Arabidopsis thaliana: one gene and its partners. The protein of the gene in region 1 interacts with the protein of each later gene in a pairwise test. Each region holds a gene or a part of one and is shown in the gene's direction. Other genes may lie near its edges. The genes, in order: AT3G02880, AT5G49540, AT3G06600 and AT4G17430.

What was found.
Region 2: the proteins of AT3G02880 (region 1) and AT5G49540 interact in a protein complementation assay, tested with the Arabidopsis thaliana proteins (one large-scale study listed by BioGRID).
Region 3: the proteins of AT3G02880 (region 1) and AT3G06600 interact in a protein complementation assay, tested with the Arabidopsis thaliana proteins (one large-scale study listed by BioGRID).
Region 4: the proteins of AT3G02880 (region 1) and AT4G17430 interact in a protein complementation assay, tested with the Arabidopsis thaliana proteins (one large-scale study listed by BioGRID).

The regions. Positions count from the first base shown.
Region 1 is NC_003074.8:631,627-638,976, forward strand, and holds AT3G02880 (Leucine-rich repeat protein kinase family protein), read left to right. Parts: upstream 1-2,838; 5' UTR 2,839-3,192; coding exon 3,193-4,483; intron 4,484-4,670; coding exon 4,671-4,988; intron 4,989-5,081; coding exon 5,082-5,356; 3' UTR 5,357-5,658; downstream 5,659-7,350. Other genes in the region: ILR1 (Peptidase M20/M25/M40 family protein), read left to right, coding at 367-726, 821-946, 1,195-1,509, 1,602-1,730, 1,835-2,233; GASA5 (GAST1 protein homolog 5), read right to left, coding at 6,697-6,878, 7,114-7,147, 7,308-7,350.
Region 2 is NC_003076.8:20,102,682-20,108,827, reverse strand, and holds AT5G49540 (Rab5-interacting family protein), read left to right. Parts: upstream 1-2,549; 5' UTR 2,550-2,843; intron 2,844-3,202; 5' UTR 3,203-3,218; coding exon 3,219-3,316; intron 3,317-3,414; coding exon 3,415-3,610; intron 3,611-3,720; coding exon 3,721-3,740; coding exon of another isoform or gene 3,741-3,750; exon of another isoform or gene 3,751-3,993; coding exon 3,994-4,024; 3' UTR 4,025-4,347; downstream 4,348-6,146. Other genes in the region: AT5G49555 (FAD/NAD(P)-binding oxidoreductase family protein), read left to right, coding at 1-47, 152-220, 361-476, 580-692, 755-834, 928-1,048, 1,139-1,205, 1,288-1,417; BLOS2 (biogenesis of lysosome organelles complex 1 subunit-like protein), read left to right, coding at 1,672-1,755, 1,827-2,126; AT5G49530 (SIN-like family protein), read right to left, coding at 4,586-4,645, 4,733-4,853, 4,944-5,153, 5,283-5,911, 6,051-6,102.
Region 3 is NC_003074.8:2,053,539-2,063,002, reverse strand, and holds AT3G06600 (uncharacterized protein), read left to right. Parts: upstream 1-2,489; 5' UTR 2,490-2,544; coding exon 2,545-2,637; intron 2,638-2,731; coding exon 2,732-2,854; intron 2,855-3,079; coding exon 3,080-3,445; 3' UTR 3,446-3,454; exon of another isoform or gene 3,455-3,651; intron 3,652-5,185; 3' UTR 5,186-5,296; exon of another isoform or gene 5,297-5,525; intron 5,526-6,638; 3' UTR 6,639-7,380; downstream 7,381-9,464. Other genes in the region: AT3G06620 (PAS domain-containing protein tyrosine kinase family protein), read left to right, coding at 41-170; AT3G06610 (DNA-binding enhancer protein-like protein), read right to left, coding at 1,158-1,250, 1,328-1,394, 1,881-1,936, 2,035-2,166; AT3G06590 (basic helix-loop-helix (bHLH) DNA-binding superfamily protein), read left to right, coding at 7,691-8,356.
Region 4 is NC_003075.7:9,722,886-9,729,750, reverse strand, and holds AT4G17430 (O-fucosyltransferase family protein), read left to right. Parts: upstream 1-2,916; 5' UTR 2,917-2,949; coding exon 2,950-3,416; intron 3,417-3,493; coding exon 3,494-4,550; 3' UTR 4,551-5,041; downstream 5,042-6,865. Other genes in the region: AT4G17440 (chromogranin (DUF1639)), read right to left, coding at 1,092-1,223, 1,331-1,903; AT4G17420 (Tryptophan RNA-binding attenuator protein-like protein), read left to right, coding at 5,308-5,355, 5,609-5,668, 5,757-5,796, 5,886-6,064, 6,189-6,227, 6,311-6,406, 6,552-6,612, 6,696-6,823.

The DNA.
Region 1 (7,350 bases):
TTTTAAAAGTGTTAATTTTCATTAACATAAATGGTAAAATCGTGTATTAAACGTACTAATTCATTTCAAGTAAATATTCCTTTTATACCGTAAATATACTACATTGTATCATTTTCATATTTTATCTTTGGTATTTCATTATTTTCTTCACATTACAACCATAAATTATGAATTTCACATTAGAGGCGTATACGTATTTAAAAACGATTAAAAGAGTTTCCAAAAACGTGTGTAAATTACGTACTATATAAATATTAAAAATGGATCGGTGATCCAACTCCTTCTCCTTCATCATCATCGTATTCACCGTTGTCCTTTCTTTCATTGACACTTGCCAGTTTACATCGACAAACAAAAGAAATCAGAATGGATTTCTCAGGGAGCTTCTTTGTCATCTTCGTTACCTTCTTCTTTCTCCCTCCTCTGTCTTCAGCTGGGAGCTACGATTCTGGTTCGGGTCTCGAGTCACTCGCTCGCGGGATGCTTCATTCAGCCAAGGATCCTGAGTTCTTCGAGTGGATGAGAGGAATTAGGAGAAAGATTCATGAGAACCCAGAGACAGGGTTTCAGGAGTTCAAAACGAGTCAACTCGTTCGAGACGAGCTTGACTCGCTTGGAGTGAAGTATAAGTATCCTGTGGCGAAGACTGGCGTCGTCGCTTGGATCGGATCCTGTTCGAAACCTGTTTTCGGACTTAGAGCCGACATGGACGCACTTCCGTTACAGGTTTGAAATCTAATAATCAAAGTTCCGATTTTTACTCTGATTTTTAGATTGCTTTGTTTGACTAATGAATTTGAAAAAATGGGGACAAAAAAAGGAATTAGTGGAATGGGAATCGAAAAGTAAAGTAGATGGAAAGATGCATGCTTGTGGTCATGATACTCATGTTGCTATGCTTCTTGGTGCTGCTAAGCTTCTTCAAACCACAAAACACCTCATCAAGGTCTCTCTTTTTTCTCTTTCACTCAATTTATATGTATAATTTTGAATGATTCTGTCTGTGCCCTGCAATTAAAACTCATTTCGATGTGGGTTAGTGTTTTCTAAGATTCTTAGATATATGTGTGTGTATGTCTTTGATTGCTAATTGTTATGTGTGTGTGTTTTCTAGAGTTGTTAGTGTGTGTGTCTTATGAGAGTTTGGTGAATCTTATGAGGGTTTTGAACGAAAACACAATTTTTTTGCAACAGGGGACAGTAAAACTTGTGTTTCAACCAGGCGAGGAAGGTTATGCAGGTGCTTATGAAATGCTAAAAGACGAGATTCTAGACGACTTAGATGGGATACTCAGTGTTCATGTCTTTCCATCGATCCCATCAGGTGGTATTGGTTCTAGGCCTGGGACCGTTCTTGCAGGTGCAGGATTGTTTACAGTCACGGTTCACGGTCAAGGTAGCCACGCAGCTACACCGCACTTCTCTAAAGACCCGGTTCTTGCAGCTTCTTCCGCTGTTGTTGCCTTGCAACAGATTGTTTCGCGGGAACTGGATCCACTCGAAGCTGGTGTAAGTTTGCTTTCCACTTTCAAAGCATTGGTGTTTGATGAATCAGAATCTTGGCTGAAATCAGCGGAGATTGGTTTTTTTATGTTTCTCAGGTGGTTACAGTTGGATATATTGAAGGAGGTCATGCTCAAAACGTAATACCGCAGAGTGCGAAATTTGGAGGTACTTTCAGAAGCTTAAGCAACGATGGGCTTCTATTTATCCAAAGACGGATCAAAGAGGTAAAGAGATTGTTTTTTACACCATTTTTCTATACAATCTTGTTCTACTATTCGAATAATGTAGGTCCCTAACCCTGTTTAAATGTTTCTTGATGATGATGCAGATTTCAGAGGCACAAGCATCGGTATACCGATGCAAAGCAGAAGTAAACTTCGAAGAGAAAAAGCCGTCGCTTCACCCGGTAATGAATAACGACGAGGGCTTATACGAGCACGGTAAAAAAGTAGCGGAAGCGATGATTGGAAAGAATAACTTCCATGATTTCCCGGTGACAATGGGAGGAGAGGATTTCAGCTTCTTCACTCAAAAGACTAAGGCTGCGATTTTCGTGCTGGGGGTAAAGAATGAGACGCTAGGCGCTGGTAAGCCGCTTCACTCGCCTTACTTCTTTGTTGATGAAGAAGCTCTTCCTGTTGGGGCTGCTCTTCACGCAGCTATGGCCGTTTCTTATTTGGACGAACATGGTCATAGCCATGAAGAAGAGGTTAAGAGTGAATTATAGAAGGTGTTGGGAGAAAATCAGCTTATATTAGTCATCATCTATTTGTATTTGAACTTGAAAGTTAGGTGAGGTTAGGTTTCGGGTTGGGAAGAATGTTTGTTAATAGTCACGAGAAACCAACCACTTCTATTAAAATAAATTTGATGTAAGAGTTTTAAAAATTGAACAATTGAAATCTTCAAAATGAATACCACTTCTTAAGTTCTCTGTTGACCATTTCTATTACCTTCCTTTCAAATTGATACAACAAATACATAAAAAAAAAAAAAAAATGTCTATGGTACAAACTTATATCAGAAATAAAAACGGTGTCGGAGAGGCTAATCTTTGTTTGTCAACGGTAGCTCAGACACATTTGACAGACCTGGCATGTCTTTGGTCACACTCAACCTGCAAAAAAAAAAAACATAAAAGAAACAAAACGATAACGACCATTAATTTTTTAATTAGACCTAATTTATTGATCTAATACAAAAGAAAGGAAAAACAGAGGTCGTTTAAACGTCTACAAAAAACATTACTGCAGTGATTTATTGTCATTTATGTAACGCAAATATAGTTGACTCTGATAAAATTGTTACAACTAGTATTCATAAGTCATAACCTTATAATTAATTAATTATCTTTCTGTAAATTAGCTGTCAAATTAAATACATAAGATTCTCTTTTAACTTTTTTGTCAAAAAGGAAATATTCCAATTAGTAACTTTTCTTTTTTTCCTTTTTCTCTGCAATTATGACCATTTTCTCTCTCTTAGCCGGCTCTAGAGAGAGAAGAAAGACAGAGCTGAAACTCTTGTAAACCAAAAAACACAAAAGTCTCTTTGTTCAAACACTCGTTTACGCGTAGCCGAAATAAATTTTCCAAAAACCCATATCCGAAAAAGTCGATATATTTATTGAATTTTTGGAACCAAGGAGACGAAGAATTTACACGGTTTTTGAAGAAGAAGAAGAAGATGAAGTATAAGCGTAAGCTAAGTCTCTCTGTTGTCTTCCTCTTTGTCTTCTATCTCGCTGCGGTGACTTCAGATCTAGAGTCTGACCGGAGAGCTTTACTCGCTGTTCGTAACAGTGTCCGTGGCCGTCCTTTGCTATGGAACATGAGTGCTTCTTCTCCTTGTAATTGGCACGGAGTCCACTGCGATGCGGGTCGGGTCACGGCTCTCCGATTACCCGGATCTGGTTTATTCGGTTCTTTACCAATCGGTGGTATTGGTAATCTAACCCAGCTTAAGACTCTTTCTCTCCGGTTCAATTCTCTCTCTGGTCCTATCCCTTCGGATTTCTCCAACCTTGTTCTCCTCCGTTACTTGTATCTTCAAGGTAATGCCTTTTCCGGTGAGATTCCGTCGCTTCTCTTCACGCTTCCGAGCATAATCAGAATCAATCTAGGGGAGAATAAATTCTCGGGTCGGATCCCGGATAATGTCAATTCTGCGACCCGGTTGGTTACTCTGTATTTGGAGAGGAATCAACTCTCTGGTCCGATCCCTGAGATCACGCTTCCTCTTCAGCAATTCAATGTTTCTTCTAATCAGTTAAACGGGTCTATTCCGAGTTCGTTGTCGTCTTGGCCTCGAACTGCTTTTGAAGGTAACACTCTCTGTGGGAAGCCTTTAGACACTTGTGAGGCAGAGAGCCCCAATGGTGGTGACGCTGGAGGACCCAATACGCCGCCGGAGAAGAAAGATAGCGACAAGTTATCCGCCGGAGCTATTGTCGGGATTGTGATCGGATGTGTTGTTGGTCTGTTACTGCTTCTTTTGATTCTGTTCTGTCTCTGTAGAAAGAGAAAGAAAGAAGAGAACGTTCCATCTAGGAATGTTGAAGCTCCTGTCGCTGCTGCGACTTCCTCCGCTGCTATACCAAAGGAAACGGTGGTTGTTGTCCCGCCGGCTAAGGCTACGGGGTCGGAGAGTGGTGCGGTGAATAAAGATTTGACCTTTTTCGTGAAATCTTTCGGGGAATTCGATTTGGATGGATTGTTGAAGGCTTCAGCTGAGGTTCTTGGGAAAGGAACAGTTGGGTCGTCGTATAAGGCAAGCTTTGAGCATGGGTTAGTGGTGGCTGTGAAACGGTTAAGAGATGTTGTGGTGCCTGAGAAAGAGTTCAGAGAGAGATTGCATGTTTTGGGATCAATGAGTCATGCCAATCTCGTGACTCTGATCGCTTACTATTTCAGCCGTGACGAGAAGCTTCTTGTCTTTGAGTACATGTCTAAAGGAAGCTTGTCTGCGATATTGCACGGTATAGAATAGTAATCTCCATTTGTGCATTTGTTTATTTTTAGGGTTCTTAGTTTAGCTGATGCTAGTTTGTGATCTTGATGGACCTGGTTTGGCTAAAATTGACACTGATTACTGAATTGTTTCATAGTTAGTTTATCTTATGTGTCTTCAAGCTCGGTTTTGAAGCTCTTTTAATGGATTTGTAGGGAACAAAGGAAACGGGAGAACTCCGTTGAACTGGGAAACCAGAGCCGGTATAGCCTTAGGAGCTGCAAGAGCGATTAGCTACCTACATTCGCGTGATGGGACAACTTCTCATGGAAACATTAAGTCCTCGAACATACTATTATCTGACTCCTATGAAGCTAAGGTCTCTGATTACGGTCTTGCTCCCATCATTAGTTCTACATCTGCACCTAACCGTATTGATGGCTACCGTGCCCCTGAAATCACTGATGCTCGCAAAATATCCCAAAAAGCTGATGTCTATAGCTTTGGCGTCCTAATCCTTGAATTACTCACAGGTAACAAACAATCAAGGATAGATATATCTTTTTAACTGCTTTTTTTGCAATTGCTGTGGTTTCTAGGTTTTAACATGGAACATTACATTGCAGGTAAGTCTCCAACGCATCAGCAGTTGAATGAAGAAGGCGTAGATTTGCCGAGATGGGTCCAATCTGTTACCGAGCAACAAACACCGTCCGATGTGCTTGATCCCGAGCTCACAAGGTACCAACCTGAGGGCAATGAGAACATCATTCGTTTATTGAAGATCGGTATGAGCTGTACGGCTCAGTTCCCAGATAGTCGTCCTTCGATGGCTGAAGTCACCAGACTCATTGAGGAGGTTTCTCATTCATCTGGCTCCCCAAATCCTGTATCCGACTGATTTTTTGGGGGTCTAAATTGATTGATTTGAATATTGTTTGGGGTCAAGTTGCAATTTCTTGAATAGTGTCGACCCCACTTCCCGCCTTTTTTCTACTTCTTCTTCTTTGTTCTTGTTCTAGTTTGTTCGTTAATTCTTGAGCCTCAAATTGAGATGAGACCTATCAGTTTCTTTTTTTCTTTCTTTCTACTTTTCTTTATTTCCAAAGTTTTAAAAATGTCTATAAAACTATTGCTTTTGCTAATTTTTGTATAAATATATAGTTGATTGCGTGTGAATAAATTGGTTTTTGTTTTCTTCTTTACACATCTTATCCCAGAATCCTAGTCAACGATTCAGCCAAAAAACAATGTCAACGAGTTTTATTTTTTATCGCCGTCCAAAATTTTGAGCCAAAAACAAAGTCAACGACAAAAGTGGTCATGAATATCGTCTCACGATTGACTGACAAATACTTCACGATTTGATTAGATATGAAGTTTTATAATGTGAAGTTGGTAACCACTAACTAATAACCCTACTTCACAGGAGAAAGAAAAAACATTTTAGATATGAAAAAACAACATTGACCCAGAAAGATATATATTTGCTTAGAGATTTTGTATGAAAGAATTACTAGTGCTGATAAACTATTTAGTTCAAGCTTAAAGGGAAATCGATTAGATAATTTTTCGAATTATTTGAAGAAAACATATTGTGATCTGGACTTATAATTTTTCATGTGATATACCATTTACACCGAGTCATGGGCAGTTGCCACAACTTTATCTCATGTTCCAACTCGTACCAGACTGGGTACATATGCACATGGGGTTCAATAAATTTATTAGTGGGATACTCTTTGACATAAAACACTATTAGGAAAAAATGGAATTAAAACCTATTCATAAATTCATATAATTACGCACGTAAATAATGTTTTTCACAGTAATATTAGAATTTGACCTTAGCAAGTTGATGGTTTTTAAACCGTGGAAGCAAATAGAACATGACTTCCACATACAAACATCATCAACACTAGAGATAAATCATAGATATAGAAAATCATATTTATGACTGAAATATTAACAATTACAACTTAATGGGCTTTATGGCTACATTTTTGTAGGCTCAAATCAATTGATAATGAAGCCCATTTCATAAATATGTAACCATAATAAGTTCGGCCATGACACATTGGGCGGGCTTACACGTATAACAAACACAACAGTTAAGAGCAAAAGACACAAAAAAAGTGTAGAGACAAATCGCCAACTTGTAGAAACAGATTAAAACAGAGTAGTAAGTGTTTGATAATCCAAAACTAGATGAATATTATCAAATATATCTAAAAAGAAGTTTTAAGGACATTTTGGACGGCCTTCTTTAGTCTTCCAGTTGTTGTAACATGGACAAGTTTGTTTGTTGCCGAAAGTGCCAGGAGGAACACAAAGACATTTTTTGCAACACTTGAGGCAAAAGAACATGCATGGCTTCTTGTGTGATGTTGCTGAACAACGGAAGCTACACTTTGAGTTGCACTCTACAATTGAAGTTTCCATCAAAAAAGCATATCACAACAAACAAACAAAAAACAAATCATTGAGATCTTTATGTTCATGCTTATAATTCACAGCATACAGTATACTAGAAAACTGACATTTCACAAAATAAACACCATTATTGTTACTTTAAAGTTTATTTATCAACATTATCAATAATTAGTGATTAATAAATTAATATGATCATATGAAACAACAAAAGTTTTGAGTCCGTACGTTGGGGTTTGAGTTTGCCACCACCACGAGCAGCCTGTCATATATATATAAAACTTCAATATCAGAAAACTAATAGCCATTAAATTTTTAAGGAATGTATAGCCTTTGGTCATTTTTACCTCCACGAGCAGCCTGTAATATATAAAACTTCAATATCAGACTTTAATAAACTGAATCTGTTTTGAGTGGTTTACCTGAACGAGGTTGGAGACTGACAATAAAAAGAGAAGAGTCAAG
Region 2 (6,146 bases), on another chromosome or scaffold:
AGTCATCGGCTATATTGTCCAATGCGACCCCTTACAGAACTTATGTGGTAAATCTTTTTAAATCATAAGTTCCAAACTCCCAGTATATGTCAGTTAAAATTTTGTTGTTTGCTAACAAATTTACGTTTGTTCTTTCTGTCTTGGATAACAGGAGTTGGTTCCGACCAATGTTCTTCCTGAAAATTTCGTCAGTGCTATTAAGAACTCAGATTACAGCTCTGTAAGGATTCCATGTCGTTTAAGTCCCTCACTCTCTGGATCAAGAGAAGATAGATTTCTCTATAGGCGGAATTGGTTTTTTTTTTAATTACACCATCTAGCTAATTATCTGGTGATTTGTTGTTTAATTGTTGTGAACAGGCAACTACCAAAATAAACTTGGCTGTTGACAAGTTACCACAGTTCCAGTGCTGCAACACAAATCATTCAGGTCCAGGTCCAGAGCATTTTGGCACTATACACATTGGTGCAGAGAGGTATCATTCGTGCTAATTTGTTCCTCATTATATGTATCTCGAAGAACAAATAATAATACAAATAAAAGTGATCAATGGCTCTGTTCTATCTTCTCTCTGTCAGCATGGACGAGGTTCACTCAGCATGTCATGATTCTGAAAATGGCTTACCATCGAGAAGACCAGTGATCGAAATGACTATTCCATCCACACTAGACAACACCATTTCTCCCCCAGGTACACATTCTCCCCCTTTTGCTTGTTTAGGATTTGAACTCTGAATGTGATTTTGTATGTAGGGAAGCATGTAATCAACTTGTTCATCCAGTACACTCCTTACAAGCCCTCAGATGGAAGCTGGGAAGATCCTACTTACCGAGTTAGTTTGTTATACACGCTTGGCTAAACATTCCTTTACACTACAAGACATGCCAAACCCATCTGGATTTGCTTTTGCTTGTGTAAAAATCAGGAAGCCTTTGCACAAAGGTGTTTCAAACTGATTGATGAATATGCACCCGGGTTTAGCTCATCCATCATTAGCTACGACATGTTGACTCCTCCGGACCTGGAACGGGAAATTGGTCTAACAGGTATATAAAGTGAAGTACTTGGAGAAAGATCCCAAGTACATGCGACATGGCCAAACCATATTGACATGACTGCCCATTTGTATTCTGCAGGCGGAAACATCTTTCACGGTGCCATGGGATTAGACTCTCTCTTCCTGATGCGCCCTGTGAAAGGATGGTACGTGACTCCGAAGTACTCAAAACAGTCTTTACGATTTATGATTATGAAATTCAAAACTTTGTTGGACTGTGTGAAACAGGTCAAATTACAGAAGCCCTTTGAAAGGTCTCTACTTGTGTGGCAGCGGAGCTCATCCTGGAGGCGGAGTTATGGGTGCACCTGGAAGAAACGCTGCACATGTTGTTCTTCAAGACTTGAAAAGAATCTAGCGAGTATAATCTCAGACTGTGCAATGTTAACTCTCATGTGTAAGTTGTTTGTTACTGCTCTGAAAACCTCTGTCGTAGGGAGAGGCTTACAGACATGGACAATAGTTGATATCAACGAATAATAAGCCTCCACGTGTAGCTTAACCTAAATATCACTAATTCAACAAATATGGAAAGTGCCCTAAACAACAGAAGAGCCATTGTTTATTTGTCTTTGTCTTTGTCTTTGCGAAAAGAAGTAAATATCCTCATCAATGGCGGATTCACGAGATGATCTAGCTGAATCGCTACAAAATCTATTCACGAGTGTTTCATCTATGGTCAAATCCGAGCTCCAGGTGAAAATCAATCCGAAATTTTACAGATTTATTTGTTTCCACAGATCTGAAATTGAATTGGATAAAAATAGGGAACGAACAACCATCTAGATCTATTGGAGAAGATGAACCTGAGAGTTGCGTCAGAGTACGATGATATGGGTGACGTGGCAGCTGGGCTCAGAGTTTTCGCAGAACAGATGAAATCAAAAAGTGGTGGCTTGGATGAATTTGTAGGACAAATGGATGCTATCGAGAAACAAGTGTCGGAGTTTGAAGCTGTGATCTCTGTTCTAGATCGATATGTCTCTGTCCTAGAATCTAAAATCCGAGCTGAGTATCGTCATCCTCATCATCAGCGTCGCTCTAATGATTCTGTTGTTACAGACTGATGCATTGTAGCAATAATTAATTTTTATCATTACTGAGATTGTTGGAATCGAGATCTGGAATGCTATTTTGGTTTTAGTTGATATTGAAGCTAGATACGAATACGACGAATGATTTTGTCTACATTCGGTTTAAGTTTAACCAAAACTGAAATTTGCATAAATCAATCTGGAACCAAACCAAACGAAAAGCACCTAAGTTTTTTTTTTACCGCTACTCCATATATAACCATTTACCGTACTTACTAATGCATTGGTTAAGTGTTTTGTTAAACATATTAAAACCTCCTAAGCAAACAAAACCAAACCGAATTAATTTCAGTTTGAATGTAATAGCGATGGTTTTATAAAACCAAAACTTGGAACAAACTGAACTGCTCATCTTTAGTAGTAAGTAACGAATTTTCATAATCACAAATTGTGATGTATAATCATGTTATCCGTTTCAATATCAAGAAATTTAACTAGCATAGTTGGAGAGTGTTGTTAATTTTGATTAGTAGTGGACAATCCGGTTTAAGGTTTGGTTCCGGTTCGATTTTACGGTTTATATATTACTTGTTTTCTCTGTGTTTTTCTTTTGTCTAAAAACACTCTAAAGAACTTAAAGATATTCGTCTGATTGTTCTCTCTCAAATTGGCTCATCCTCTCCATTCAATTCATCCCAAGTACCAAAGCAAGCTACTTCGATCTTCCTCTTACTACTCTCGTTTCTAATTGTAAGTCTATATCAATTCCTTTTCCAAAGTTTGTGTAGATCTCAAAGTAGTAGATCGGAAGAGATCGATAAAACCAGATCGATTAATCATAGTTGCTCCCACTCTCGACTACTTAAGAGATAATCATAAAGTCTTAACCTTTAGGAATCGAAATTTATTGTGATGCTTAGATAGCGAAACCCAGTTATAGAATCATTGAATCAATTAGAAACCCCTAATTTTCCTGTGGAAATTTGCTTAAAATCAATACTTTTTTGGGTTTGTAATCTATACACTTACTCTATGATGTCCAAGTTCTTCCTTTTTTGTTACTGTAATGTAAAATCCAATACAAAGATTTGAAATTTATGTTGTTTCAGATTGTTGTTATCTTAAATGGGTTCATCTGAGAAGAGATCAAAGGATATCATGAGTGACATACCAACTTTCAGTGCAGAGAATTTGCAGAACAATTTGAAAGTCATTCAAAACAGGTCTGATTCAATACAATTCTCTCTCTTTCGTTTTCTTAAAAAGATGATGGTTCTCGGGTTTTTTGACTTGTTATCCCTCATTTTGTTCGTGTTTGCAGCCGGACGTTTCTGTCTATCATAGCTGGTGTCTTAGCAGGAATAATTGGATTCAATGGCTTGATTGGTTTTGTATTTTACTTTGTGGTGATGTTGATCACATCTGTTGGGCTCATGGCTAAGGCAGGATTCTCAGCTGACTTGTACTTTGATTCGTGGAATCGGGTTCTTTTTGACGGTTTTCTTGGTGGCCTTATGGTATATCTTCATTTCCTTTTCTTATTACATTGTTTGTTGCTTCAAGATACATGTTGTTGATCCAACCTGTTAATCTCATACTAATCGCGGTGTTGTTTTCTTTTTCGCAGTCGTTTGTGCTGTTCTGGACGTATCCTTAAACTCAATTTGGTGGTCATACTCATTTTATGATAATGTGCAAAACTAAATCAAAGGTTGATTAGCTTTATGGAAAAACATCTATGGTATGGTGTAGGTAAAAATGATTAGCTTCTTAAGAACCTGTGATTAACATAGAAATGGCCTTTTTGTTTACTTCGTGTAGAATCAAGTATATGCGCAACTCGAAAACAGCTCTCTCTATTCTCTGTTTGTCTCAGTAGGTTTCCTTAACAATGGAGTAGATTTGCGTATGACTTGGTGCACATATTCTGAGGGAACTTCTGCTCCAGATGAGGATGGTGAAACGGCACACAAGATTGAGTTCGGGTTTTGCAGCCTCTTCATCTAAACTGAATTAGATTGACAATGTTTCTCTTGTTCCCTTTTTGAACAACAGTTTATGAGTTCGTATTACCTTTTTTTGTTATTTGAGATCACATCAAACTGTGAAAACCTTTAGATTGAAAAGTTTCAAGTATTTACACTTTCTTCCAATTTCATGTGTTCACATTGTTGTTTTCTTTTTTTTTTACATTCTTGCATGTAAAATATATTCGAATATGCTTAAGATTTCAATAGAGAACATTAGAACACTCTCTGTCAAGTTTGAACTTAGCCGTCTATGTGTATTGTATAGTTCTTTTGTTGCTTCTTATGTTTATTTTCCTGTGTTGGTGTGGCTTGTCTTACCAACTCTAGTTGAGTAATAGAAAAAAGGTTGTTTGATTTCAAAAAGGAAAAACAAAATATGAATATCTCATAACTACTGAACCGTTTACTCATATCAAAATTTATAGACCATTAAAATCTAGTCATGATGATTTAATAAACTCATCATCGAGCTTTCTGTAAAACCCATCCTGAAGAGTTGGTTTCACAGATCTCGTGCATCACCTGTCACACAACACACAGAGTTTAGAGACTAAAACTACGCTTTGGTCGAAACACAAAAAAAAAGTCAAAGAGAGCTCAAGTGAAGACCTTTATATATTCGTTGTTGGTGATTTCACGTTCAAGTTTGGTCCTGCCTGCTGCAAATACCTCAGCCTTCATAAGCTTTGTTCCAGGTGGAGATCCGGTTAAGAGGCTAATGACCACTTCCCTGATGATAAAAACAAAAAAAAAAATCAGAGAAATTAGAGATTCAACCGAAATAAAGAACCAATGTGATCATGTTCCAACAAAAAATAACCTCAAAGAATCATATTCAGGATGGTCTGGAGACGATATGGAGACATAAGACCCGTGAATGTTAGTAGCCACTCCATTTATAACGTCTTCGAGCTCGCCCTGGTAAGCATCCACGGCTAGCGCCACATTCACCGCCATTCCTGAATCAGCTTTTGGATTATTCGATGTCGAAACTGCAAGATCCCTAAGTCCTTGGCAGATCGTCTCATAGCTGCACACAAAATGGTTTATGAATTAACTCTCCTTCCTTTTTCGTAAACAAACTCACATGTTATCAAAAAAATAAATCTGAAAACTCGGAAGTTCAGATAATTGCAAGTATAGTTCCCAAGAATCTCACCGGCAAACTTTGTGAGTTTGAAACACCTTTTTCAAAGCCTTTGGTAACGCCTTCTTAAGTTCTTCTGGCATTTCTTGTGTAACAACACGATGTATCGTATTTTTTGAACTTCCTCCTTTGTCAGAGAGGGTTGTTGGAACCTCCGGTTTAACTGTAACTGAAGAACTTGTGCCAACAACATTCCTCCTTTTATCAGCTCTACTTTTTCCTCCTTGGGCGGTTATTCTCGACTTTAGATTCTCTCTCTTATCCGTCCAAAAAATATCTTGCTCCTTAACAATCTCCGGGTAGGATTTTATGAATGAGACATCAGTGGGCTCTTTGAACTTCCAATCTTTTAGCACATGCCTTTCTTTGGCAAATTCAGTCAACATTCTTTCCATCAAAGGTTTCATCTTGTCACCCGTTGCTTCAACTTCAGAGTACTTTATAGTTGTATTCTGGCTGAACAGAGACAGGACATAATCCCTGGCAGCTTCTACAGGCCCGTCTAGTTTTAGTAGCCTAGTTTTAGGAGTCCATAAACCTTGAACTAACCTGCCATATTCTTGGAGGGCCCCTAAGAAATCCTCGTCTGAGAACTCAGGAGCATAGTGTTTAAGAACACTGTATCGAATCAACGGAGATCCCTGTTATGATCAAACGAGTTAGCCAAATGGCTTATATTTTATTCAAAACTAAGGAGCAGGAACCATATAAACATTATCTTGAAAAACAGAAAAGAACAGGAAATTGAGAAACATAATGCTGATTACAATAGCTACCAACCTCGCAGAGCAACTTTTGCACACGTTCTTTAAGTGGTAGGGAGAGCAAGACCCTGAACTCAAGAGGATATTAAGGAACGTAAGAAAGGGTGTAAAT
Region 3 (9,464 bases), 1.4 Mb from region 1:
CATTGATTTGTGTTTTTATTTTGGTCTGTCCACGCGGCAGTGATACAAAGCTGAGACCCACATTCCAAGAACTGATGGATAAATTAAGAGACCTGCAAAGAAAGTATATGATACAGTTCCAAGCGACTCGTGCTGCGTTATCTGACAATTCTCTTCTCAAGGACAACTAATTAAAATAAAAGTTGAGCCTTTTTACCTTTTTGTTCCTCAATGCCATGCTTCAAGACTCAAAGACGTTCATGAGAACAGAGAAAGATAGAGAATGGGTCTGTTTGAGCAGTAGTACCAGTGGGTTGATGTGTAATTACAGCGTGGAGGAGACCTATAAGCAGAGACTGCCACTGAAATTATGGGAGTTGTGTTGTGATGTATTTGGGTCATTACACAAACTACCAAAAGAAACGTATTGCTCAGGTTAGTTACTGTAATTCTGGTGGTCGGTTCTGGTCTCTATTTCTCTGGTGGAAGCTTAAAGAAAGTGCGTGAAAGGGATTTGATGTGAAGTTGCAAAGTTGGGTAGGTTGGGCAAGAGATTGGATTGCATATATTATTCTTACTAAACATTTATGCGATCAAGTGTGGTAGAACCATTTGATGATATTTTGTACAGAGGAAAAAAAAGGGAGTTTGGAACTCTAGTTCTGAGAGAATATTGTAACACCAATTTTTTTTGGAACAGACATTTATTGGGGGATTTATGTAATCTATACCTACGTTGAAAGGTTGTCAAATTAGAAGTTATCACTAACCTACAGGTTGATCAACAAACTTCTTGTTTCAATGAATACCTTCGTTTGGAAGTTCTCGTTGTGCATCAGTCTAATTCAAACTTTTTCTAGAAACTTGAATGTATTTCTATTTTGTTTTGCTTTGAAGTAGTACTGTACCAATGTTCCATGATTATCCCACAAGCTTTTTACAGCTCCAAGACCAAGTAAACGAAGAACACATTCTTATATCTTGATAATAAGATTGAACTTCAAACTTCAGGTAGAACCACAAAACACCACCCCAGAATCGATTGTAACTGTATTCAGGGCTTCTCAGAGAGATCGGTTCAGCAATAGACAATTTTAACTCGGTTAAATATTAGGAGACTTGCTCTCAACCTCTCAAACATACAAAAAACCTTGGAAGTAAAGAATGGTCCTGCTCCATCATAGAGGATATCGTGAAAGCAATTGCCTAGTCGCAGCAACCGCATCACCTTTGTGCTCCCTTAGAGTTCTTTCCGCCACATTCTTTTCTATCTGCTCATTTACAATGGTGACAAACTTCAGAACTTTGTGAACACATGCATAGAAGAAGCTAATAAAAAGAAGCTAACCTCAAGTTCGTTTACAATAAACTCAACATCTGCAGGATTGATCTTCACAGAGGCCAGTTCTTTCTCCCTGCATAAAGTTCCAATACTTTGTCAATCAAATACAACGAAAAGTCTAATCTTTTCCGAAAGATGATATTGACTCGTAAATCACATTCAATCACTTATTAATAATAAGTTCTACTTGTTTTGTTGATCATTCTCGCTGTGTTTTCTCTAGTAAAAGCTATTACAGCACAACTGATATCTGGCGTCAATACTATCTAGATGTGAGTAATTTCAAAAAAACAAACAGATTCTCCAAAATTGACACTCTTGGTCTAAATAGATAGACTTAAGTGTTGCCAAGCCCCAAAAAAACAGATAAACACCAATTTGTACAGAGAGATTAGCTACAGTTTGAACTACAAGTGTAACGCAGTAATCAAATTAATCAAGTTAATTCTGAATTAGGAATGGAAACAAACGAGTTTGACTTATGTTACAGCTTCATTAAGCATTGCTAATAATCTCCTATTTCAGAATTTAGAACACGGGAAAAGCTTAGAGTTTTTACCTCAACCTCTTAGCATTCAGATCAGCCTCCCTAGAAGCAGCAATCGAAGCCATAGCCTGAAACACGATACCGACTTTTCAATTTACTAATCGAGCTAAAAAAATTTCGGAATTCCTAATATTTTCAGAAATCAGGACACGAAAGAGTTACATACCGATTGAACACGAGAGGAATCGAGCTGGCGATCCTCGACACGATCGGTGAGCTTGTCGAAAGCTTTGCTTTGTTGCTGCAAGTCCTTTGAATCAACCGCTATCTCAGCCCCAGCTTCCTCTGCTCCCTCCATTGCTTCAATTTCTTCTCTTCTCTCTTTCGACTTCTTTCAGTTTCGGTGAAGAAAATTTCCGGCAACAGAGATTTTGAGGTTCGATAGTGTTTCAAGCTTCGACGTTAGAAACCCTAAAGGCTAATTCTATCGGGTGAGGCTGGAACCAAACCGGCTAAACAATACCACAACCGAACCGAATTCCGGTTTAGTAGGTTAATTTTGCGATGAGCGAGAACGATCTATATTGGGCCTTGAATAAAAATAGTTATCGGCCCTTAAGCCCATGTAAGAAGCGTACTACAAATAAAATTATCTTGCTTGATAGTTTTGTAGTTCACTCACTATTTCACATTTTCGAAAACTGACAAGCTCCAAATTTGAAAACATTGGAGAGAGATGAAGGAAATTCAAATTCCCAGGAAAAGCTTCGCGCGCTCATCAGAACTCGGAGCTAAGAGACTCAAGGATCCTGAGATGAAGAATCGGAAGGTAATTTTATTAGATCGATCCTTAAAATCGCCATTGTTTTCTTCTTCCCACATCGTTCTACTCAAATTCGAATCAATGCTTCTCTGAACTGAAGGTTACGACGGAGAAGAGACAGATCGCAACATTTTCCGACGTATCTTTTGAAAGCACGAAGGATCCGATGGATTTTAGTCCGATCTCTCAGATTTCTGGTGCGATCTCTGATTCCGAGGCTGAGGTATATGCTTCGCTCCAATGTTTTAGTTAGGTTTAGTTTCCATCGAAGTTTTTCGTTGTGTTGCTTTGTAAACGCTCAGATCCGTTAAGATTAGATGTTAAATTTTCGAAAATTGAATCGATTTTGTCTGCGCTTGATGACGAATTGGAAAGATTAAACCTCAATTTTAGCCATTATGTGTCTGGGTACTGATTACTGGCTCGAATTATGTTGTTCTCTCCTCAGAGTGTTATTCAAGGATCGAGCCTAGACTTAATGTCAACCCCAGAGATTTGTCTTCCGGCTGATGATTCTCCAGTTTCAACCATTACTAGTGTGGAGGCTCGTATTGACACGTCTTCTACTGATCGGATCCAGTCGATTGTGGACTTGCCCGCTTCTGTGCAATCCTTGCGTGGGGAGATCAATGAGCTGAAAAAACTGATCTGTTCAGTTGACAATTCTGCAGAAATTAACTGGGTCGATAGAGTTGTTACTGTGAAATTCCGCATTGTGCTTTTGAGTTTCATTCTTTGGGCTATCTTAGCTGCGATTGTGGTCTTCTTCAGCTCAGGAGAGGAACGTGCTTACCGTGGACCACTTCCAACATGATTCTTCAAGGTAATTCACTTTACGTTTCTTACCTTTGTCACATTGATTCTGGTTTCCTTCTCATAGGATGATAACAATAATAATTTCAACGTTGCATAAGATTGGGGTTGTATACTGATCTGCCTTCAATAGCACATTTATCCTGTTTGTCATTTTATGTTGCATCTCTGCTAATGAAGGTCACAGCTGTTTAGTTTAAGTTGGCTATTAGCACCTCTTGAACTTCAACACTATTAACATATTTCAACTACTGGGATGTGTCTACCAAAGGAAAGATCAGTTCTAACATTGTTTTTTATTTTTTTTTTAGAATTCACTCTTTAAAAATAACTGCAACACACGTTCTCTAGTAAAAGTAAGTACAGATATCTCAGTGAAGTCTTATGCGGTTGAAATGCTACCTTCTTCTCTCTGTGTCCTTTTTGTTGAATGTTAAACTTCCTAAGCCTTCTGATTGAATGTTTTAAATTTAGCTCATGCTAGGCCCAAACCAAGTAGTCTCTCACTAGATCCATTGGTAGGTTGAGAGTGAGTTTGCAAGTAGGCCTCATAAGCAGCTAGTTAGTCTCATTCCTAAGTCCTAACCAATGATTGATCCCTAAAATTTTATTGGCACAACTGATATGACACTTGATCGTCTCATCTATGGTGACTTGTGTTATCCAAATGCAAAGTCTTCTCTCCATCACACATTTGATACATAGGCTTCTGTAGCATTTAAGTTGCTAGGTTCTAATATACCTTGATGTGTTCCATTCTTAGCTCTGTTTGATACAATGTAATGCAACCCCACCTAATTTATTTGCTTCATATATATAGCATGCTTGTTTCTATGTGCATCTCAAATCGATAGGTTATATAGATCTTACCAAGACATGTGCTAGCCTTTGTTTCCATTCTCATGCAAGCTGTTCTTTACATTTTTGTATATTAAGCCAGACAAATCCTATGGAAAGTCCAGCCTGTTAAGCTTTTTGGGTAATTACTTGATTTGATCTTTCACAACTATTAGGATAAACTCTTCGAGGTATTAGGTTAGGTTTATTCTCCATTATGGATAATGGTACAAAGATTAGGATTTAGAAACTAGTCCTGTATATAGAAAATGAATGACAGAATAATCCAGACTGGTGTTTGGCTTTTCTACTGGAGATTAATATAGTAGTAGGCCACTAAACACCAGAGAATATACTAATATATGCCATGTATTAAAGAGAAGCAGCTCTTGTTGGTTTACTTTTGAAGTAAAGTTTCTGTGTGATTAAAGAAAAATCCGGCTTAGTGATTTAAATTAGTGGAAACCAATTAGAAGAGTTTTGTTTGTTTCTCTTAATCAGTCTTGTCCTTGTGTCTTGACATTGATTAATGACCATATTTTGTGTATTACGTAATCAATGGTCTATATCATTTTTCTTGCTTACTTTCGTGGCGTTTGTATAGTTCAGTCTATGACTTTTTTGTGAGAAACTGAGTCTTGCTTTCGAATTGGATTCCCACTATAGATTTAGGAGTAATTATTTTTCACGTGTATGATGAAAAGCTGGTATTAAACCTAGGCAAATCATGGGTTGGAAATTCAGCTTTTCGATTCACAACAAAGATTGTCATTGGTCAAGTAATTGTCACGTTTGCTCAGTGTTGTTGGTAAAACAATGATGGCAACTTAAGAGTTAGGCTTCCAAATGCTTATAAATTAGTGTACGTAATCTAACAATAATCATATTTCTACTATTTAAACAGGATTTGGCTGCTATCACTGTGAGAAACCAGGGACAAAAAATCAACTACTTCTGATGAAGCGAAACACATAGAAGTTGGAAATATCATTTGAAAAAAGAAAAAACTACACAGGTTAGTGTTTTCATATTTGCCTCTGAAAAGTGTTGTTAAGTTGATGTTAAATTTACCAAAAGACTATTAATCATTTCATATTAGCAATCCAAAATAGACCCGTTGAAAAAACAATGATTGAGCATCATCATCTGTTAATCTAATCAATACTTCCCTTTTTCTTCCTTTAAAAAGAAACTAGTCCTTCTTCTTCCATTGTCTGTCGTTCACTTAGTTTATTTGGTGTCTAGAATTAGGGAGGCAATCTCTGTGCCACCTTCATCATACTTAATAGTTAGTTTTCCTTTCCTTATCAACTTTTTTCATTAATATAATAAGAAAAAACTCATTACATCCGAGATACATAATGATTTGCAAATAAATTTGAAAACCTTAGATAGCTGGAATTATGATTTACAGTAGTAAATTTTCATAGTAACAAATTTGAACTTCCAATCCGAAATATATTTATTTCTATTAATGGAAGATAACAATTACAGCCAGCAACCTTTGTGATACATGTTTTTTTTGTTGTTGTTGTTGAAGTAGAGCCCATGAGAATTACGCAAATCGCAGATTCGAATAGTGGTTTCTTTGACTCAGTTCGTAAAACAGATAATTCATTAGGTTGCTTTGTTCTTCACCAACAAATTTTCTGCTTGATTCTAAAGTATAAATTGAGAAAATTTAAGTATCTAAATCGAAAATATATTCTTAAATTCGAAGTAGATAAACTATTTTATTGTAAGTGACACTTTAGTGAATAATTGGATATGTTGTTTCTTATCATTAATTTGTCATGTGGAATCATTCTAGCTTATAACTTTCTAAGGTACAGAGAATATGCCACGTTACTGACACAATTATTAACCCTTAGCCCTTAGGTTAAATGAATACTATTATCTATGAAGCATTGCGCATTGCGCTCTGTTTCTAACATCCTTTCCACCCGCCTAAAAACATCTTAATACAGTATATATACCATTGTGGTACTTTTATGTCTAACATAAACTAAGATAGGTATTTTCCATTTTAACTGCTGATCAAACTCAACATAGTGAACAGTACAAACAAAAATCAAACTAACAGTAACTTTTCTAGAAAATTAGTTTGAACGTAGCTAGCTTTATTTATATATGAATTAACCCAATGGAGAAGTTCAGAAGCTCCTTTTTTCAGCAGGATATATGAATAAAATGACGCCACTCCCTTATACTTTACCCAACAATCTATTAATCTTATATCTACTTATACATATACACAAAATTTAATGAAATTTTATTCATACATATTGATAGATACACATACAAAACTTTTTTTTGATAAAATACAGGAGTTAATTTCAGTGATCTTTTCTTTACAGGGAAAGAAAAAAAAGCCGTAAAGAGAGGCAGTGCCACTAACCCTACATCGCACATGCATTTCGTTTGGTATATTACTTTATGCGTAAAGTAGTATTTTAAATACAATTCCAATATTTACGAAATCATTGCACTGAATACAAAATCCAAAGTTTTGAGTTTTTGGCCCCTCTCTTTTTGCCCTGTCAGTCCATTAAACGACCACTATAAGTCGTAAATGGATTTCTCCAATAGTAATATGACACGTCATCCTTTCGTTTGAATCTACCTTCCTCCTCCATTCCACCAAAGTATCGGCCTTTATACAAGTTTGTTTGTTTTCTCTTTTCGTAAACATCTTTAGATATCAATAAGCTAATTTAGTAATTAAGATTGTACCCTAAATTGATTGGAAACTATCGTTATGGATGCTCTACCCACATTAGGATCTTTGTAGCATTTCTATTATGTATTTTACTCTCTATTTAGATTATGTCTACAAAAGATCGAAAACTCGTGATTGTAAGAAATTTTGTATATAAATTTCTTTCTAAAATCTCTGTCAAGAGGGTAAGTTTAAAAAAATAATTGTGAACTAATCAACGTGGAACAAAACTTTTTAAGTATAATCATAATTCATAAACATTGCTTCAAGTCACAATGATGTCTCTGTCTCTCATTATTCCAAAACCATTAGAGGTTATAGAGCCAGTTAATTATAACTTATCAATTCCACTAGTGTTGAGAATGAAATTATTTGTTTCTTGGTGGTATTCACGAATTCTCTTTATCATGCATTACAAATGCCACTTTCGTATCTGGCTAAAACAACAAATACTAAAAAACAAATTGACAAAACGACGCCGCTTATTAACTGCTACATCTAAAACGGGGCCGTTTGTTAACTGCTACGTCTCGTGATAGTTGATACCTCTCTCCCTTTATATATCTTCCTCTTCTTCTCCCTTCCATTATTCTCCACAATTTCATAACTTTCTTCCGCTCAACTTCAGATAAATTCGGATTCTGTAGCTCTTTCAATACGACTGCGGAGATCAGAGCCAATTATTTGGTTATGGCGTCTCTGATCTCAGATATTGAACCGCCGACGAGTACTACTTCAGATCTCGTTCGGAGAAAGAAGAGATCCTCTGCTTCATCCGCCGCATCGTCTCGTTCAAGCGCATCTTCCGTCTCCGGTGAGATTCACGCGCGATGGCGATCGGAGAAGCAACAACGGATCTACTCAGCCAAACTGTTCCAAGCGCTCCAACAAGTCCGCCTCAACTCTTCCGCCTCAACATCATCATCTCCAACGGCTCAGAAACGAGGAAAGGCCGTCCGTGAAGCCGCCGATCGAGCTCTTGCCGTTTCCGCTCGGGGAAGAACACTCTGGAGCAGAGCGATCTTAGCTAATCGGATCAAACTGAAATTTCGTAAACAGAGACGTCCTCGAGCTACGATGGCGATTCCGGCCATGACTACGGTGGTTAGTAGCAGCAGCAACAGATCGAGAAAACGGAGAGTGTCGGTGTTGAGATTGAATAAGAAGAGTATACCGGATGTTAACCGGAAAGTACGTGTTCTAGGCCGGTTAGTTCCCGGTTGCGGTAAACAATCCGTACCGGTGATTCTAGAAGAAGCAACTGATTATATTCAGGCTCTGGAGATGCAAGTGAGAGCCATGAACTCTTTAGTTCAGCTTCTCTCCTCCTACGGCTCAGCTCCTCCACCGATTTGATGAGGTTAAAATCGTCTTTTTAATTCTACCATCTCTCGATCTTTCACAGCTTATGTGTATATAGAAGATTCGGTTTGATTATAATCTGTAACTACTCTTCCCAACCGCTGATTCTTCTCTGCTACAAGTAAAAGTAAATTTTGAACCGAGTCTTCCCATTTTTACGATCCTCAAGTCTAAATTAAGTATATGATTGATTAATAAAGTCTTTACCATTAGGGTTCAAATCGTAGTTGGATTATTTGATTTAGATTGATGAATTCGTTGTTGATCAAAAAAAAAATAAGATTGATGAATTCGTTATTGGAGTTAGTGGGAAAATGGGTTCCTCTTTTAACCTCATAGTATGTGATAACTAAACCAATATGGAACTTTTGATGTACTTTTAGTTCATTCAATATGGCTTTGTACTATATCATCTTATGTACTATATGAAATTTCAACATGAAATAGATTTGTACTGCAATAAAGTGGAAAGAAAATAATTTCCCATTTAGAATTTTAAAATACATTATAGTAGATGTAGGAAGATAATGGGTTAACTTTAGTTTTGATTATGGTAGCATGTGATGATGCATTAGAGAATGAATGGAATGATACATTCAAATTCATTGAATTGAATGATGACTGATGAGATTGATCTGTCACTCAATCATCTACTCGCTTTATTGCCCCTCCTTTGAATCCCATTTTTGATACTTATAGGTTGTTTGTCTTCTTTTTCTTTTCTTTTCCTTATTTCACAAGAAATATAAAGGAAAAAAAGAAGAAAAAAGATTAAATTAGCTAATAATTCCCTGTTACTAAATAAGTTTTCTCAAACACTAATCTGCAGTTCTGCACGTACTGTATATCCTTCAATATTCATCACGAAGCAAAACTGAATAACCTGTAGTTAAAATTGACTTAACAGGAGTTTGATTCATTAGCTTAATTAATATACGAATTTCTGTGATAGGGATATGATTTAAGAACACTGGAGTATGACTAGGCGACAACAAGAGACAAGTGACGACAAAAGCAAAAAATATTTAAAACATAGAGAGAAGTGACCTTAAAAGTATGAGGAGGCACATGGGAGTGGCCATGCCTTTGTCCTCTTGTTTCT
Region 4 (6,865 bases), on another chromosome or scaffold:
AGAGAAGTCGTAACTGGTGGTATTCTAGGGCCTTTTGGATTTGAAATCATGAATATTAGCCCATTTAGCTTATTGTGGTTTAGGTACTCCATTCTCACATTAGGACTTCAAGCCTTAAGATGCAATCACATGAATATGAACTGTGAGCCATTTTCTTTATGCAGGTTGTTGTTAAGTGGGTATGCAGATTTTTTAAAAAATACAGTCATACAGAGGAAACAACTGTGTGATTAATAAACCAGCGTAAAAGCAAAAACTACACTCTTAGTTTCACATTTTTGGAATAATTAGAAACATTAATGCAGAACTGTAACTATTTTTAGCCGTCTTCTCAAAGTTATCTGCAGGTTTTTAATTTGCTTTTATTCTCTTAGAAACCTTATTGTACTTAAAAAAACTTATATGGATCTTAATACACTTTCTAACTATGTGTGTTAATAAGAGTTATATATGGTTTAATAAATCATTGTCTGTGCTAATAAGAGTTATAAATGGTTTCAAAAAACCCTTTTTAAACATAGATTATGTTGTTTTCCTCTGCCATTAAACTTAGACGCATCTTAATTACTAACTCAAAAACAAACCCCTCTCGCTCTCTCTCTTTATATATATCTATAATTATATGACCTTACCGATATTTACTTATAGTTTAGTTACTACTAAGTTTGATATGAGACAAGAACATGTCTCTTGAGATATCTTCTTCCTAGCTTCTACTGTGATGTATCTGGATTCTCGATCACCAGCATACCTATCTACCCTGCAACAAAGCAGAAACAAAATCCAACTACTTAAGCACAAACCTCAACAAGATCAAGCAATGTAATATCATAACAACGTTACCATATATCCATGAAAATGATAAGTTTCAATTAGGGAGATGACTTCACCTTTTTCCTTCACCAAAAGACTCCTTTGCATCGATCATCACTGCAAATGGAATACAATCGCTGTTACGGGTTTTGTATCATTAAAGCAGCAGTACCATTAGGTTACGTAAAGCTAACATAGAATGAAACTTCATAAAATCTGTAATAGCACCTAAAGGTCTAGACTTTCATCCATTTCATACTATCTACAGATCAATGTAGCTAAAGGGCAGGTTGATCCAAGCTTTCATCGAGCAAGTAAGTGGACTGATCAAAGCTAACCTTAGCCGGAGAAGTGGCTACTCTGAAGCAATCAGCATTCATCCCAACGAGACCCAATCCAGGGAAAATGACCTACAATGGCAGACATTGAATTGCCTAAGAAAATGGAGACACTAAAAAAACGTAGTCATTGTTTTGAATTCTCTGTGAGGCAATTCGTCGAACACCTGGTGACTTACATCGAGATGTTTCTGCATAGCTTTTGCCCTCTTCCTTGGCCGGCGAGATGACCTGTTCCCACTCATGCTGAACAAATCTTCTTCGATCTCGTCTCGAGCTAGAGCAACCCAAAGCCTATGATTCTCGTTTGCAACCTCACCACCGCCTAATCCGGGTGATTCCGCCGGGATTCCTCTCTGCCTGTTCGATTTCGGCTCAATTCCTGCGCCTGATTTCTGATTCTTCACCTCCGAACCTCCTCCTCCGCCGCCACCGCAAACCTCCGCCGTGAACACGCCGTTTCCTTTCTTCGAACCACCATAAGCCTTCCTCGGACGAAGATTCCACGTCCTCTTCGCTTCCTCCTCCTCCGTTTCTTCTCTCTCCTTCACCGACACCGGCACTTCCTCTCTCGCGGGAGAAATCTCATCGGATTTCAGCTTCTTCAGGTTATCGTGCTCTGATGAGGGAGCAAAGGAGGAGAAAGAGAGACGCGGCTGACGACTTGACCGTGACGCCACGACACGGTTAGAAACAGCCACCGTCTCCGCCGATTGAGAAGCAGACCTCTCCGACTTGGAATTCGCAGACATTGGTATGAGATTATACCAAAACGTATTCACCTGAGAGATGATCAAAAACCCTAGAAGGTAAAAAGCAGAGAGGAGAGAGAGAGATGTAGGAGATTTACGGAAGCTGATGCATGCGTAAGTTTCTAATTATGTTTTTATTCATGGGGTGTTATTGGTTTATGATTTCAAAAGACTTTTAGTGTTTTAAAGTGTTATTTAGAATTTATTGTTATTCGATCACGATTTGTTAAAAGTATGTTATATTTTGTTGGCTAAAATAAATCATTAGTTAATTATTTTATATCCTGATATATCAACATCAATTATCATCCTTCTGATATGGGGATTAATATATGTTAACAATAAATCCAGAAAATTACGTTTAGATTTAGACATATAAATAAAGAGATCTTAAAGAAAAGAAGAGAAAAAAAAGAACCCGTAAAAAGCTTAAAAGACTACAACTGCTTAAGTCTATCAATGATGATCAATATATTCATGTAAGTGCTAAATAGGTTAATTTCTCTAGTGAATTCGATTTTGGACTAAAAATCAACAAATATTAGATCATCTAGTGAATTCGATTTCTCTAGGCCATCAAAGAATATTATTAGTTAGGTCCAAAGACCTAAATTTATTTTTGTGTATAAATTTAATAAAATAGAAATTTACATTTTGATATTTTTAATATTATTTTGGTGACAAAATATTTAGAAATTTTTTATATTTTTAAATATTCTTTTATTTTCATATATTTTTTATTTTATTTTACAAAAATTTAAAAAGAATAAAAATAAAAATAAGTTCATAAATATTAATTAGCAAGATATCTAATCTCCATTGCTTGTTTAAAATGTTATGTGGACGCGCAAATAGCTTCGTATAGATTATGTTACAAAAAGATTTCTAAAATTAACTATGTTTAAGTTCGTATTATTTTAGTTAAGGCCCATCAGAGAATATTAGTTAGGCCCAAAACAGTGACACTCACCGTTTTGGCATCTTCTACACATGAGCAAAACTAGACGCAACGCAATGATGGCGACTAAAACCTCAGAGCAAAAAACATGAACAACTTCTTCAATCCCAGTAGACCAAGCCCACGTCCATGGCCAAACAGGAAGAAGCAAACCGACAAATCTGCGATATTTCTTTGCTCCGTTTCTATACTTGTTGTGTTCTTCATCGTCGTCTTCTTCATCACTTACTCCGAGATGCCCAAGTCCTTGTTCTCAATCTCTGCATTTTCTGGATCCGTTCAATTCCCTCAGTGCAGATCCGAGATACTAACCCGAACTCTTCTAGGTCAGAAGTTTCTCTGGTACGCTCCTCACAGTGGATTCAGTAATCAGCTATCGGAATTTAAGAATGCGCTTCTTATGGCGGGAATTCTTAATCGGACCCTAATTATTCCTCCGATTCTGGATCATCACGCCGTTGCTCTCGGTAGTTGTCCTAAATTTAGGGTTTTGAGTCCCAGCGAGATACGAATCTCAGTTTGGAATCATTCAATTGAGCTTCTTAAGACTGACAGGTACAAAATCTCTTTTTTTTTTCGTAATGAGTTTTAGTAATTTGATCAATGTGGGTGACAAATGTTGGTGTTTATAGGTACGTTTCGATGGCTGATATTGTAGACATTTCGTCGCTGGTATCTTCTTCGGCTGTTCGAGTCATTGATTTTAGGTACTTTGCATCACTACAGTGTGGTGTTGACTTGGAGACTCTATGCACTGATGATTTAGCTGAACAGTCTCAGGCTTATGAGTCACTGAAACAGTGTGGCTATTTGTTATCTGGAGTTCGTGGTAATGTAGATAAATGTTTGTATGCTGTGGATGAAGATTGTAGAACCACTGTTTGGACTTATAAAAATGGAGAAGCTGATGGGAGATTAGATTCGTTCCAGCCTGATGAGAAGCTCAAGAAGAAAAAGAAATTGTCCAACGTGAGAAGGCGAAGAGATGTGTATAAGACTCTTGGACATGGTACAGAAGCTGAGTCTGCAGCTATTCTAGCATTTGGGAGCCTCTTCACAGCTCCATACAAAGGCTCAGAGCTGTATATCGATATCCATAAATCTCCAAAGATAAAATCTTTGGTTGAGAAGGTCGATTTCCTTCCTTTTGTTCGAGAGATAATGATCGCGGGAAAGAAATTTGCTTCAGAAACCATAAAGGCGCCGTTTCTTTGTGCACAACTTAGATTACTAGATGGCCAGTTCAAGAATCATCGGGAGAGCACTTTTACGGGTTTATATCAGAAGTTGGAAGCTTTGAGCGTTAAGAATCCTGGTCTAATTAATGTGTTTGTAATGACAGACCTTCCTGAATTTAACTGGACCGGAACTTACTTGGGTGATTTGTCTAAGAACTCTACAAATTTCAAGCTCCACTTTATAGGGGAACAAGATGAATTCTTAGCGCGAACAGAGCATGAACTTGATTCAGCGAGTCACGGCCAGAAATTTGGGTCTATTCCGATGAGTCTTGATAGTATAAAAAAGATGCAGACCCATTGTTACCCTCATGGAGGATCCAATGTGCAGCTTTACATAGAGGAAGCTGTTTGTAGCTGTGCTTCACTGGGTTTTGTTGGTACTCCAGGGTCTACAATAGCTGATAGTGTAGAGATGATGAGGAAATACAATGCGTGTAGTAGTAGTTGAACTCAGACTGCATTTCTATTGGATTCATCTGGTGGATGAGCCAATGTGTAGTGATTTTATTAAGTTTTGCCGGTCTTTGTATAGAGATGGATAGAGATAGATGATAGATCTGTCATCTGTCTCCACTTGAAGTTATTGGTGATGAAAACAGGCTCTTAAATTGTTTTGTGTTGTTAAGTTATTTGGGAAACTATCTAAGTTTCTTATTAATAGATGAAGCTACTTGGTTCCTTTCTGATTATTCACACACAACAATGGAAGAGTAAAGGTTGCGTGGGATGGTTGCTTAGTAAAGGTTTTGTGAGTTCTGTAGATGTCTCTAGTGGTCGACAAGATTTGTAATTGTTGTACCAATGTCTTTAAACCGGCTATTGAATAAGAAATTTTGTACCAAATAAATCTAGTGAAAGAGGGTTGGTTGAGAAGAAATGTAATTATATTAAACCGGAAATGAAATTTTACGTCGATGTGTATTTTGTGACCAATGAGATCTCTCCACGTAAACAGATTCCACGTGCAGCTTCAGGCCGATTTAAGCGAATTTAATCTGTCGTTTTGTTGGGTTCCCGTCGGTGACATCCACCGCGAACATTTCGACCGGAGTTTTGAGAGAGCTCAGAGTGTTTCGAGTGTGTTATTTGGATCTGCGATCTGATCGTCTCGCATCGACGTGAAAGGTTTTCTAATCCAATTGGTTCTGTGGAAATTTGGATTCGGAGGTTTTTGTTTGGAAGATCTTTCTGCGGTTTTCACCGCCATGGCTGCTCCGTTTTTCTCTACTCCATTTCAGCCTTATGTCTATCAGGTTTGTCTTCTATCTTCGTTCTCTTCTCGCCTCTTAGATTCGTATTCTTGTCTGTCACTATCGAGAAGGCTAGTGTTCGAATATACTTCTTCGCGAGTATTTTAGGATCCTTTCTCATGTAGGTGTTGAGTAATGTGATGTGTACTTACATCTAATTCAGTGATAATGCTAATAAGCTATTTCCTGGGTGAGAAATTGATCTCTTGAATGTGTCTGTGGGAGTATGAATCTCACAAGTGGTTATATGATGCAGAGTCAAGAAGATACGATCACACCTTTCCAAATTTTGGGTGGTGAAGCACAGGTTGTTCAGGTAGGTCGACATTTTATTTTGTAGTCTGGGCATTTTGTGTTTATGTGATTGACATATATACTCAAGCATTTGATTGTTTTTTTGACAGATAATGTTAAAACCACAAGAGAAGGTCATTGCTAAGCCTGGTAATTTCCATATTATGATTCCTCATTAAGTTTTGTAAGATCTGTTGGGTTGGATTGTATATGTTAACTGATTATATATGGTTCTTTAGGTTCAATGTGCTACATGTCTGGGTCCATTGAGATGGATAATACTTATACCCCTGAACAAGAAGTTGGAGTTGTACAATGGATTTTAGGAAAGAGTGTTAGTAGTATAGTTCTTCGTAACACTGGGCAAAACGATGGATTTGTTGGTATCGCTGCACCTTCTTTGGCAAGGATTCTCCCAGTTAGTGGTTCTTACTTGCCATGATTTCCTTCCGTAGTATTTAGTATCTTGCTTGATATAAGTATATCTCCTTATCTCGTTCTTATGTGTTTTGGTGACCTTTGGCTTGTTTCTTTCCGTGAAGCTTGATTTGGCAATGTTTGGTGGGGACATCTTATGCCAGGTAGAGCCGTCAATCTTTAGCTGCTTGGCTCTCAGCTTTTTCCTCCTCATTCAATGATGTGACTTTTTCTTGTTGTTGTGTAGCCAGATGCATTTCTCTGTTCTGTCCATGATGTGAAGGTCGTAAACACTGTGTATCAGAGACATCGAGCAAGAAACATTGCTGCAGCTGGGGCTGAGGTAAGGAAAACAATACATTGCATTGGCTTTTGGCACAGTTCATTCAAAACTTAAGAGTTATACCTTTCCTAGTTACTTCTTGTAGATGCTACTATGTGAAAATTTTATATATGTTTGGCTTGAAGTCAGAGAGTCGTTGTTGTAGGGGGTTCTGAGACAAAGGCTTTCTGGTCAGGGTCTTGCTTTTATTATCGCTGGCGGCTCTGGTATGCAACTAAAGTTTATCTCAACTTACTGCTCTTTAGGTTTAGGCCTTTTAAACTGATCCTACTCCATTTGCTTCATAAAGTTGTACAGAAAAACCTGGAGGTGGGAGAAGTTCTCACCATTGACGTTTCTTGCATTGCCGCTCTCACTCCGTCGATCAATTTCCAAATCAAATACAATGCTGCTCCTGTAAGACGGGCAGTTTTCGGGGTATGTTATGTTTCTTCCTTATCCATTACAAACAATATGTAT